Xenopus tropicalis: one gene and its partners. The protein of the gene in region 1 interacts with the protein of each later gene in a biochemical or structural test. Links are inferred from orthologs where the notes say so. Each region holds a gene or a part of one and is shown in the gene's direction. Other genes may lie near its edges.

Evidence for each region. The genes of interacting proteins can lie anywhere in the genome.
Region 2: the proteins of prkar2a (region 1) and akap11 form a complex in vitro, tested with the Homo sapiens proteins (2 studies listed by BioGRID, with this or other methods). The link is inferred for Xenopus tropicalis from reciprocal best matches to the Homo sapiens genes PRKAR2A and AKAP11.
Region 3: the proteins of prkar2a (region 1) and palm2 form a complex in vitro, tested with the Homo sapiens proteins (2 studies listed by BioGRID, with this or other methods). The link is inferred for Xenopus tropicalis from reciprocal best matches to the Homo sapiens genes PRKAR2A and PALM2AKAP2.

What each region holds. Positions count from the first base shown.
Region 1 is NC_030680.2:136,456,098-136,460,625, reverse strand, and holds part of prkar2a (cAMP-dependent protein kinase type II-alpha regulatory subunit), read left to right. Parts: intron 1-487; coding exon 488-626; intron 627-1,490; coding exon 1,491-1,624; 3' UTR 1,625-4,528. UniProt on the Homo sapiens protein: Regulatory subunit of the cAMP-dependent protein kinases involved in cAMP signaling in cells. Type II regulatory chains mediate membrane association by binding to anchoring proteins, including the MAP2 kinase.
Region 2 is NC_030678.2:132,798,560-132,803,087, forward strand, and holds part of akap11 (A-kinase anchor protein 11), read left to right. Parts: intron 1-1,327; coding exon 1,328-1,438; intron 1,439-1,730; coding exon 1,731-1,772; intron 1,773-2,105; coding exon 2,106-2,231; intron 2,232-4,117; coding exon 4,118-4,379; intron 4,380-4,528. UniProt on the Homo sapiens protein: Binds to type II regulatory subunits of protein kinase A and anchors/targets them.
Region 3 is NC_030677.2:108,640,140-108,644,667, reverse strand, and holds part of palm2 (paralemmin-2 isoform 1 (palm2)), read left to right. Parts: intron 1-2,348; coding exon 2,349-2,463; intron 2,464-3,599; coding exon 3,600-3,621; intron 3,622-4,505; coding exon 4,506-4,528. UniProt on the Homo sapiens protein: Binds to regulatory subunit (RII) of protein kinase A. May be involved in establishing polarity in signaling systems or in integrating PKA-RII isoforms with downstream effectors to capture, amplify and focus diffuse, trans-cellular signals carried by cAMP.

The sequences.
Region 1 (4,528 bases):
AGAATTTATAATTCTTTATATTTATAAAGTTTCTTAAACTTTTTTCAAATGTAATTTGCCAGATAGTTCCTCTCTAACCTTTTTTTTCCAAGGGAACCGGCTTACATGCCTTTGCAAGGCAAAGTATTGTCTGTTACTGGAAGTAATTTCACTTATTTTAAAGGGGGATCATGAATACCCACCCTAAATATTGTCCTGAATCATAAGTTATACTTCCCTATTTAAAGTATGACTGTTTCAAAGTGTTTCCTTATTTAGAAAACTTTAGGAAGACATATCAGTAGTGGCTTGTTAATCATTTGTATGTGTTTGCCTTTACACCACCTCATTGTTGTCTAATATTATCTTAATGAAGTTTGCTCTATTTCTTTGTAGTCGCTATAAGCAAAATGGGTATAAAAACGTTTGGTAAATAGATATGAATCAGCATCAGCTAAAATGCTTGTGAATTTATTTGGAACATTGCTAATGTCTTTATCTGTTACAGACAAAAACAGGTCAAGAAAGTAACCAGGAAGTAGAGATAGCACGTTGTAAAAGTGGACAGTATTTTGGAGAACTAGCTCTCGTTACCAACAAGCCAAGAGCAGCTTCGGCCTACGCTGTGGGGGACGTAAAGTGCTTAAGTAAATATTGACTCCTTCGCTTTAAACCCACATCTTTATTAGTGTTGTGAATCTTTTATAATTTATGAGCAAAACAATTGGGGCTATTTAGATATATTTAATGCAATTAAAATGTTTATAAAATAGCCAGTGTTGTAAATGTAACCCTCTCAAGTTGAATTTCACACAAGGCAAATTGCCAGCAGCAATTAAGAATAAAAGGGCAGCTCAGAAATGGCCATAAAATATCAATTACAATGAAGAATATATTTAAAAGGGATACTGACACTGTCTTGAAGTTTCCTTGTCTTTCCAGCTACTAACTGTATGTGCTGGGCCACTTTATCAAATATTGTAATATTTATTCATCAATTTATTGGAATCTCTGTCAGGAGCATTGACAAATTTTATTCAACTAAATGACAATCTGCATGGGCACATTTTGGTGCTTCTCTGTTGGCAGAGAATATGACCCTTGTGCCATTGGCCAAAGTTGTCTTTTCAGTCTGTAGTCACTTAAGAATCTGTTCCCAGGAGCTCCTAAAGTCAGGGTCGGACTGGGGGGCATGCATAAGTGAAACGCGTCAGGGGAGGACCGGGGGAGCAGCAACAGGCATCTGGTCGGGCCCACTGGGTTTTTTCCCGGCGGCCCAGTCCGACCCTGCCTAGAGTCATAAAGAATATTGTTCTTCAAAGGCTTTAGTACCCATTCATAAAACACAAGTAAGAGCATAAATCTGTTGATCTCTCTAGTATTAATGCAGCAAGCCAACATTAGATGGTGTCTTGGTAACTAGAGAAGAATAAGGTTACCAGGCCTGATAAGCTAAAATCAAATGTTTTATTTCTGTTTAAAAAATGTTTCCCCCTTTTATCTTTTTTTAGTTATGGATGTGCAGGCATTTGAACGATTGCTGGGCCCCTGCATGGACATTATGAAGAGAAATATCACACATTATGAGGAGCAGTTGGTTGCATTGTTTGGTTCCAGCATGGACCTTAGGGATCCAGGAAAATAGGCACAGTTACCTCATTGCCTTCTCTGTTCAAGACACAGAAAAAAGCTTCCTGTCAGCAACACAACAAACAAGGGACAAAGAGCACTGTGGAACAGCTACTGCTGTTGTCTTGAGCACTTTTTCTTTTTCACCCCCCTCTTTATTTTTTAAACAGAGAGTAAAGCTTCAGCAGCAGAGACCATGGTAGAAATCCAGTCTGGGCCATTTTGCTGCTGAGATCCCATTATTAGACCTCATAGAAATACGTGCCTTTCTTTTTCCTCCCCTGGTTAAGAATGGCATAATAGCCCTCGTTGCGATACATTTTGTAAGTGCCTACTCCACAGCCCAGTGTCTGAGCATAACAAGTAGAATTAAAAAACAAAAAAAACATTTTTGTTATTTACTAAACATGGCTGCCATTTTTTCTAGTCAAAACAATGAGGTTGATCGGCAATAAGGTTTAATTTTACTTGGAAACTGTTCTTGGGTTCAGCACTGCAGCCTATTAATTGCAGTGCTGAACTGCCGATATTTACGAATCATTTTAGTCATGTGGCGCCCTCTGCAGCTTGCCTTGGGAAAATGGTGTTTAGCCTATGCAACCTGTTCTATAGCTAACCATTTAGTCACAGCAGTTTTGTTCCGTGTTTGAGAGATTCTGCCATATATAAGAACTTGGAAAATGTTGCATTTTAATAGCTCTTCGGATAGCCACAAAGATGTTTCAACAATAATAGGTCTGAGTATTAATTTGTAAAATGTTTTCGCATAGCTGGGCTTCCCTCCCTCACCCCCACAGTTGGCCTGCTCAGTCGGAACTCTCGCTCCCTTAGCCGTTCCGTATGATTTAGGTTCACCTAGTAGCAAAAATGTTATGAGACAAAAAAAAAAATAAATCCTGTATAGTCATTTTAGAACATTTTTTATCTTTGTATCTAAGAAGAGAATGTTAACACAAGTTCCTATTGTGGCTCCTATGGATTTCCTTTTTTTTTTTTCCCCCCCAATAGGATATTTTGTTATTGAAATCAGTCAAGCACCATTCCTAAAATATTATTCAAATACAAATGACATCCACACTGATAAACTCTATATATCTATATAGTCTTTCTCACACACACTTTGCACTCCCATTTTTATTCAGGAGCAACATTTTAATGCCTTTTTTCCCCCTTTTTACCCCCCTCGAATGTATGTTAAGAACAATGGCAAGACTTTCTGCAGCTTGAGTGGAGCGTTCCTTACGTTAGGAGAAAGTAATACAGTATGTCGTGCAACATGAACCAAAATGATTATTGTATTCAATGAAGCGTTTGTAGCGTTTCTCAAGCACTCCAAGAAACCTCCGAACATAAAATTCTAAGTTACTTGTCGTGTTGGTGGAGTCTTTCGTATTGTTCATTTAAATATACCACTTTTATTTCATGGAACTCTGTGAGACTCACAACGAGCAAATTCAAAGATTTGTATTTATAAAAGTAAAGTGTACTACTAAAAAAAAAAAAAAAAGTATTTTGCCCTAAATTAAATATAGTGGATTTGTTTGTTTTTTTTTCATTTTATGGAAATTTTTTTATAATAAAGGCAAAATAAACTTCCCAGAGTTTCATGCAAGAAAAAAAAGTTGTTTAAACTGTCCATCTTGATATTAAAAAGAAATGTCATTCGTTTTATGACAAATGAACTCTTAAGTGGTGTATATTTGGCGGAGCCTCCTCTAACGGTTATTTAAAAATTAAAATTTTTTTTTTGTGATAGCTAAATTTAAGGGAGAAGGAGATTTAAGGGGGTAGTTCACTTTTAAGTTAACTTGTCCTATTCCTAGCAACTTTTCAGTTGGGCTTCATTTATTTATTAGGTGTAGTTGTGGAATTCTTTGCAGCCTTCTTCTGACTCCTTCCAGTTTTCATATTGGGGTCACTGACCCCGGCGGCCAAAAAACTGTTATTTTTTTATTACTTATTATTCTATCCAGTCCCTTTTGTTGTTATTATCCAGTATCTCATTCAAACCAGATTGGTGCTGAAATCTCAAACTGGGAGTTGAAGTTGAGTTGAACAAGAAGCAAAATAATAAAAAAATGAAGACCAATGGCAATTTGTGTCAATATATCACACTCTACATCATACTAAAAGTTAATTTTAAGCTGAACAACCCCTTTAAAGTCCAGTTTTATGGTTCTCCCTGGTTTATACGTAGCTGCATTTTCCCCCAGCAAACACTGGGAGTGCTTATTGAACTTCCTGCTTCCTGTTTCTCTCAAAGTACTTGAAAAATAAGAAATTCCAATTCCACAGATCTGAGAGCTGTTATACAATTTTCTATCGTATGACTAAAGCCGTTTTAACGGTCTGTCTGCCCTTTGTCAAAATTGTAACTGCATCGAATGACTCTAAAGTCTAGTTTGCATGTTTTCTTGCCCAGAAGCGGTGTCGATGCAGCATGCAGGGCGCCCTTAGCATGTTTTTCACTCCGGCACGCCTGCCCAAGTACACGATTGTTCGATATAACCAATGATACAGAATGAAGTCACTGGCGTCCATATTTGTCTGCCATTCTCTGTATCAGCAGAATATCCGTCCGGTTCTTGGGTTTGAACACACTCCAGTGCTTTATTCAAGTCTTTTCAACCTATTCGGAGGATGAGTTTACTCAATCACCTCAGTAAAAGAAATCTTTCAGTGAGTAAACACTCCCACTTTTTTTATTTATTGAATGCTGCACTCGGGCAGTGGTGAGACAGCAGCATAGTAATCGTATTTATCATTGTGCTCGTTTGTACTGCTGTCTCTTTAAATGCTTGGAACATTTCAGCATGGGCGATCTGCGTTTGTAGATACTGGAGGATGCCATTTGTTTGTTACACTGGGCAGCATAATGGGAAAGTACAGCCGACATGATAGTGAGAGCTCAGCAGCAAAG
Region 2 (4,528 bases), on another chromosome or scaffold:
GTTGTAGCTCAGATCACACATTGCCAAGGGGGGGGGGGGGGGGGGTGAGTTTTATGAATTCTTATGGGAGAGGAGAGCTGGAGAGACGAGAGAACTGCACAGACTATGACCCCCAAATAAAGGATTTTTCTGAGAGAGGAAGTCAGATACTGAAGAACATGTTTACAAAAAAGGAGACAAGATCTCCTGTGTTTATTTTGATAGAGGACTCAGTGCAGCGTTTCTGTGAGTGCTTATGGCTGTATTTACATAGACCTTTCTGATAAAGCTTACTTAGTTTTTACCTTTCATTCTTCTTTAAGGTCCTTTCCACTTAGTATTCTTTTCAGTCAGTTCTGGATGATTCTTGGGGCTTTGTTCCTGTTCAAGTAACTTCTTGTTCTTATCTGGTTTACAAATGAAGAAATATATTGATACCATAATCAATATGGTCAATAACACACATTTTTGATGATTCTTAAATCTTTGCCTCAGATCATTTGTGCAAATTCCTAAAGGTTTAAAAAGTAATGATTTCTCTTTCTCACTAAGGGGAAGACTTATTAAAGTTGCATTTGAGATTGTTGGCATTTTCCAAGCAGTCAAATTTTCTCACATTTACTAACCTTTTCCTGACCATATGAAATTGTGTTAATGAGCTCATTTACCAAAACATTTCCCACAGTTCCTTAGTGACTTTTTCATGAATAAAACTTCTACAGCAAATTCCAATATTTCCAGTGTTAGAAACCTTGCAACTCTTTGGGGCTACTACTTTAGGAATATGAAAATTATGCATCTTCCTTTTTTTCTCCTTTTGCATTTGTCAAGTGGAATATTTTCAGATTATGCCTTGCATTGTAGTTCCATTGCTCTTTGCCCTTTTCCTTTACCAGCATTGGGTTGTAACTGAGCATGAGAAGAGGTCTGCCCATATCACTGGCCCATATCGCTGGCCCATATCGCTGGCCCATATCGCTGGCCCATATCGCTGGCCCATATCGCTGGCCCATATCGCTGGCCCATATCGCTGGCCCATATCACTGGCCCATATCGCTGGCCCATATCGCTGGCCCATATCGCTGGCCCATATCGCTGGCCCATATCGCTGGCCCATATCACTGGCCCATATCACTGGGGACACAGTGGCTAAATAGGGATAAGGCACAGCAGTAGGAAAAAGCACAGAAGTATGCTAACAGCCTGAAGAGATACACATAATGCTAGTTCTGGTATAAGTGTCACCCTATATTTGAGATTTGTGTATATTTTACAACATTTTGTAGCATTGCATGTATGTAATAATTGGAGACTTTGTTTGGCTTCTTACAAGAGTATTTCTTTACAGAATATAAGCGATGCCTTTTTGATGTCACTGAAGTCACTATTGGAAAGCAAGAAAGAACTGTGCAGAATTGCAGAGGGTTTCAAAGGTGTCAAGAAAGAAAATGTAATGGAGGTTTGTCAGTTTATTTATTATTCTTCATCCTTCCTCCCACATTTATTTTGCACAGGGGACTTTTTGAAAGAGCAATTTATCAATTTAAAAAAAATTAGAATTGTGGAAAAAATGGCAGCAAAATTTGTGCGCAATTTAAGAAAAAAACCTAAACACAACCAGTTAATTGCGGTTTAAAAAAAGTCAAATTTTCCATTTAATTTTATTTACATAAATCTAAAAAAATCTCTGCTGTGGGTTCTAGGTAGGGAAGATTTTCATTGAAATTTTTCACGATTTTTATACCTTCCAGCTTACATTTCTTGGACTTTCTGAGGAGTCAGAGCCTCTTCAGGTGAGATGTTTTTAAGCAATATTTTTGTTTACCTTTAATTTTAAATTAGTACAGTTAAACCTCAATTTTATGTTCTTCAAGGGGCTGCAAAAAATGGCATACATTCTGGAAAAGAAATGTGGTTTGTCTGTGTTGGTTCCATTATTCTGTGAGGTTCAGTTATGAACGTCAGTGAGCAATGGTGCTGAAAGCTTGGAGCCAGTCTGATAAGATTCATTGGCATGAAGTATAAATCCCCTACCTGCTAATTAGCGGTGCCACTAAAATGAGCATTTTCTTTATGTAAATGATATCTGAAGCCACACCTGACACTTGTGTCATTCTTGCACACAGGATGTTGAAGCTTTACACCTGGATCTGCCAGAACTGATCAGATCACTTCATCTCTGCAGTTTAAATGACTGCGAAGTTATCCTGCTAAAGCATGGCAAAGAAGGTACAACATCTTGTGCAACCCAGGTAATCGTCCCTGTCACGTTCTGCACTTTTGTGTTTTGCATGAATTTTTATTGCAGTCTTGTGCATTTGATCTGAATTACTAGAACCCAGTGTGTGTGGCCCCCCGTGCCAGTGGCCTATGTATAGAAATTATTGTGTAACACTCTGAAAAGTCAATCATATGAAATCCCTTTAAACATCTGCTGCTCTACAGGTAGCACTGCTACCCGCGACTCTCCCTTAGCTGTGCTTTCACAGAAATGGTAAAACACATCAGTTAATAGAGCTTCTCCAGCAGAATCCTGCATTGAAATCTGTTTTTCAAAAACACAAACAGACTTTTTTTATATTTAATTTTGAAATTTCACACGGGGCTAGCAATATTCTTGATTTCCCACGGTGCCACAGCCATGTGACCTGTGCTCTGATCACAGTTCACATTTTACTGCTGTGCTGAAAGTTGGAGCGATATCACCCCACCCCCAGCAGCCGATCAGCAGAACAATGGGAAGGGGGCAAGATAGCAGCTCCCAGTAGGTATCAGAATAGCACTTAATAGTAAGAAATCCAAGTCCGGGTTGGGACTCCTCCAGTTACATGGGAGTAGGAGAAACGGTTGGTTGGTTGGTATGAAAGCAGTTCTAATGTGTAGTGCTGGCTCCTTCTGAAAGCTCAGACTCAGATGGCGCCTACACACCAGTATTACAGATAAAAAAATACATTTGTTGGTTCAAGAATAAAATTTGAAATGAATGAGTGAATTATTTGCTATGTAAACAGTGTAATTTGGTAATAAAAGTGCACCATAAAAATCACAGAATCCCATAAAATTTTTGATGAACAGACAAATCGAGTCAGAGTAGATCATACAAAGTCTATTGGACTAGGTTGGTTACTCTGTACAGAAACATAATTGGAAGTTTAAGACAGATTCTTTTTAAATTTAGTCTCACCGGCAGGTTTCCATACCCAGTGTATCAGGTGGAACGCAGAACTACTCCAGCTAGATCTGACCAACTCACACTAATAGAGTGTGTATAACAGAAACTAATGACAAGCCCTCATTCATTGCCATAAGTAGAAAGTAGCCACTTCCTGTAGAAAATCACTAAGCTACTGCAGTTTTTAATGAACCTGTTTTTTATGTTTGTATATTTTTGTCACAAAGTCCATTGTAGTGTAAAATAATTCTGTTGTTTCCTAAAAAGGAACATTGAAATGAGACATTGGGTAAAAAAAGAGTATAGGATGGTTTGCAAATGATTAAAAACCCTACATTTAATTAAAAAAAAGTAAAATACAAAATATCAAATGTTGAAACTGAGATATATTTAAAAATATATGCACATATATGCATTTTGAATTTGATACCTGCAACATGTATTTGTTTGCCCTACTGTCAAGACTTTGGGGCTTATTTCTCAACACCTGAGAGTCAAGATTAGGTGTATTAATGTAAAGAAAATGCTAGTGAGCTCTTTCTTTATTGTGTTTTTCCCCCCACAGTTATTTCCCACAAAACCTCATTAGCCTTTTGGTGGGTTTTTTGTTTTCTTTTTCAAAAAAGACAATTATGGGGGAAAAAGCTGCATAGTGTATCCATGACAGTAGCTATTTTCCCTGATATATAATTAAAGGCATAGAGTTTGCCTAGGAGCAGTAACTCATAGCAACCAATAGGATGTTTGCTTTTAAACAGGTCACCAGTAAATGCTACCTGCTGATTGGTTGCTATGGGTTACTGCTGCTGGCTACAAGTACATTGAACACAATTCCAGGTTGCATCTCAAACAGCATAGTTTCTAAGTAACAAATAGTGTGAAATGAAAATAACCTTTACACTTTGCATTTACCATTGTAATACTGAGCTTAAATTTGACCTTTTTTTCCATTTTTTTAATTTCAAGGGTTGTTTTTCTGGAGCACTGTGTGTCATGTCATCTCCCACCTTTACATATTTAAAAAGTGATTCCCTATTTAATCTGATGAGCAAATATACAACTGGAATAAGGTACACAATGGATCATCAGTTCTTGAGTGACACACTCAGAAAAGCTTCGCACAGTGAGGAAGATGATACAAATCAATCTGTTTCTTCAATTGAGGATGATTTTGTAACCGCTTTTGAGCATTTGGATGAAGAGGATTTAACTACAAGTGGAAACCAAGGTGCTGCATAATGACTTGGAAAAATACAATCAGCATGCAGAACAGTAGCTTAATCTCTTTCCCAAGATACTGCCCATGAATGTTGTAGTTGTATTTGTGTTTGTAAGCATTTTATTTGAAATCATTGTAATGTTTGCTCATGGCATACT
Region 3 (4,528 bases), on another chromosome or scaffold:
AATCGTTTGGTCACAGATACCCCGGGCTAGTGCAGTTTGCAGTTTTTAGGTAAGTGATTACAATCACTTGGGGGGGTGCCTAAAATCTGTGCCTTTGAAAAGGCACACAGTAGCTCTCCATCTTCTTTCCTGCTATTTGCTTCTATCAGTTACCTGACTGACTTACAATAAAAAGTACATATGTTATAAAATTGCCACAATACAAGGCTAATTAGTCAACAAAGTCGATTCACATTGCATGGCAGCTCATCAGTGTATTCTGTATTAGAACTTAATAATCAGCCCTGTAGAAAGGTTAAATGACAGCCAACAACCCATAAACGTTGCTTCTTGACGGCAGCAGCCCAGAGCACACATCAACAGGGTCTTACACTATAATAAATATGCCCCAAAAAGTATGTTTAGTGTCACTAGCCTGGACTGACAGTTGCTGATGCTGGCAAATGCCAGAGGGGCTGCTATAAGATGCCATAGAAGGTTACTCTTTATTCGTTGGTGAGGGCTTTATTGGGCCCCTATGTACATGAAATTACAGGGCCTATTTTAAATCCCAGTCTAGACCTCGTGTCACTGACACTAATGGGATGGCTTACACAATCCAAGATAAAACTTTAAAGGCCTGGATTATTACTGTTGTACGGCTGCTGAAACTATTTGTTGGTACAGTAAGTTCAAAATATAGCATTTGATGCTATATTTTTTTTAAGCTTTACTACCTCTTTAAAACCGATGTTTTGGTTTTTTTTTTAAAGAAAATGGGGCCATTTTATTTATTAGCATGCTGTTCAAAATCATTAGCACCAGTATGTGGTGTAATGTGCTGGGTGGCCTGAAATGCCTGTATGTGTGGGTGTGGAGTAACAGAATATGTAGTCAAGCTATCTAAAATACAACAATTAATCATGCTTTATGTATGATATAGTTACTTACTGTATGTTTTATTTTTTGTGTGGCATTAGAAAAAACCCTAGCAAATAATTCTCCAATTACTTTTGCTACCTACATGCTAAGAACACACTGACCTTGTCCATTGAGTTATAGCTGGGAAGATTCTTCATATTTGCACTTTAGGAATAATCATGGATCTGAAATATGTGTTTGACATCCTAATAAACTGCTTTAACTGGAGTGAGAAGAATGTGACTCTCCAGTGTCTTGTTTTAAATGTGTTTGTATGCCGTCCAGGCTAACATGGTGCTTGCACACTGTAGAGAAACACTTGCTCACTACAGATGCTGAAAAAGTCTGACCACAGAAAAGATACAGTTTTTATTAAAATTTAAAATTTTGTATTAAAACTAATGAACTTTGATATGAACAAAAAATGGCATAATGAAATGATTACTGAAACATTATAACTTATTTATTATACAAAATGTAAGTTTGATAAGATATGTATAACAACAAAGGTTGCAAAACAACAAAATAAAAGAGGCCCTGTCCATCACATTATACTGTTTTAGTAGAAATATATTTTATATACTATCTTTATAAAATGATTTGAATGGCATATTTAATCTGCCATTTAGTGCACACCCTGTAATAAACGCAGAGACTCCCAATAGCTTGTATACATGATTTTATGATATTATACCATTAATTTCTTCCTGACAGGAAAGAGGCCAGACCTACTTAGTATTAGTTACCATATGACTTACACACTCATACCACAGTTTATTTTTAATGATAAAACAGGAAATTAGAATATCATCATGTAAACATGTAAGAAATATATTTTTAAAGATTTCAGATCAAGATGCAATACAGATGCTAGTTTGGCAGATTGGTGGCTGTATAATATGATTGGCTGGATGTTAATGTGAGTGACAGGCATAGTTCAACGGATTCTATTTTGCAGGAGGTTTTGAATCTCCATGGAAAGCCAACATTCCAATGTAATTTAAAAAATTCAAGATATCTTTGGATCTTCATATCTCATCAGTTTGGGGTTCCTATTTATACTGTTATTTATTGTAATAGATGTCATATATTTTATTAGGGATATATACACAGGATTATAACTAGCAGACGTGAAACTGATATTCAGTACAAAAAAACAGATGCTAGGATTTATTCCATTCATAAATCTGCTAGCTGCACTGGAACACACCTCTTTGGAGAATGTAGCTTTTTTAAAGATTCCAACCTGATGCTTGGAAACAATGTAATCTCTGTTATTCATTGTGGATTAAAAAAAAAACTTTTTTTTACCCATCAGACCATATTTATAAGTAAAGTATGGTGGAATATGTGGGAGTATAAAATTAAACGTTATAGTTATAATAACCATAATATTTTTACAACCTATTGTAGCAAAAACTTGATATCATTCACATTTTGTCTTTCAGACTGGAGCAGGATATTGGACGACTGGAGAGTGAGGAATCACTTATATCTGCGAAAGAGCAAATCCTCAGAGAAAAACTAAGAGAAACAGAAATATCTTTTGAAGATTTGCAAAAGGTAACATTAGCACTCTAGGTAAAATCATGGCAATTTTTTTGCTCATTGTGTGTTTTGCACTAGTTTAATTAAGGTCTTCAGGTAAACCCCATGGCATTGGAAAATACTAAACAGAGACAACTGACTCTAAGAGCATTTAAATATACACTATGGGGCTGATTTACTAACCCACGAATCCGACCCGAATTGGAAAAGTTCCGACTTGAAAACGAACATTTTGCGACTTTTTCGTATGTTTTGCGATTTTTTCGGATTCTTTACGAATTTTTCGTTACCAATACGATTTTTGCGTAAAAACGCGAGTTTTTCGTATCCATTACGAAAGTTGCGTAAAAAGTTGCGCATTTTTCGTAGCGTTAAAACTTACGCGAAAAGTTGCGCATTTTTCGCGTAAGTTTTAACGCTACGAAAAATGCGCAACTTTTTACGCAACTTTCGTAATGGATACGAAAACTCGCGTTTCTACGCAAAAATTGTATTGGTAACGAAAAATTCGCAAAGAATCCGAAAAAATCGCAAAACATACGAAAAAATCGCAAAATACCGATCATTACGAAAAAAACGCAATCGGACTCCATTCGACCCGTTCGTGGGTAAGTAAATCAGCCCCTATGTGTTTTTAATGCATTCTATTACCATTGACCCATACATTACAAATGTAAAAGAACATTTGCAAGTTTATTTACAAAGTTTGACAGACACTCTCCTATGATTAGAATCTGATGGGACTGCATACATATTGAAAGGCCAAGCTGATCACTGCTATGTCATCAGTTTGCTTGGAACTACATGGCCACTCCGGGCCAGTATGACCTTTGACAAACAGTTACCACTATACAGTCACTATACAAATGCACAATTAAATAATGATTGCAATTTATTGTTCTATTCTGAGAATGTGCATGTGTGATGGCTATTTACTACTAGTCATATATAAATAGGTACCTCCTACTGTTTCTAGGTAGAATGGGACCTAGAGTAAGATGTCTCTAAAACCCACACTGCAGTTGGGTGGTGCTACTACTACATAACATCCCAGTATATAAGATAATTCCACCACATCACATAATTTTTTTACTTCAGTATTGATTGCTATAGCATGAAAATAGTAATATCTATTTTGTTTCTTTTTGCAGAGTTTGTCAAACCAGGAGACAGGTAAGAATTTAATATTACTGTTCTATTATTACTCTTTCATGCTAGAAGACCTAATGTGCTTTCTAGTTGAAAACAGAAAGCTTCTTCTAAATGTTGCAAAGTAAACCAATTGTGTGTCTGAATCTAGGGCCAAACATTCTAGAGATGGGATATACGAAGCACACATATCTTTTTTTAAAATTATTCTTATCATGTAGGCAATAAAAAACATTAAATCACATCTGATTTACATTTTGGGTAAAAAGGATCATTTTCTGGTAAGCAGTAGAGAATCCCTTTTACACAGGGGAAGATAAAATGCAGCTCTGTGTCAGCTTTGTTAATGTGTTACTGGCCCCAAACTGACTGGCATCATACAGGCAATGCCCTGAGTGCCACTAGTGCTTGTGAACAGCCTAGAAAAGCAGCCAGTGGAAATCGAACTGACAGTACAGCCTTTGGGTTATCCAAATTCAGAGTATCATACTTAGGTTGGCCAGTAGTTATTTATTTTTCTAAATGCCCTCAAATGTGTTTCTGATCAGGTGCAGATAATCTAGCAACTTCAGCGAAAGACACACATTCAATTTGATGAAAGAAATCTATTTCAGTTTCCCCACAGACCTTAATGACCAAGTGATAAAAGTTTCCCATCAAGATGAAGCAGTATGTGATGGTTTAATGCAGCTTGAAGAGACCTGTTCCCTCCTACCTCTGCTAATCTATTTAATGCCATTCACAAGGCAATGAATCTGCATTTTGCTGCCATCCAGTTACAGAGTAGAGAGCTTTAATTCCCATTGTTTAGACAAAGTTGACACACTGCTGTTTAAGCACTGCTATGGCTTTCTGACTATACAATGCTGCTGCTAACCAAACCCTTTTCTTCTCTTTTCTAATACCAGATGCTGTGAACTACATTTACTCT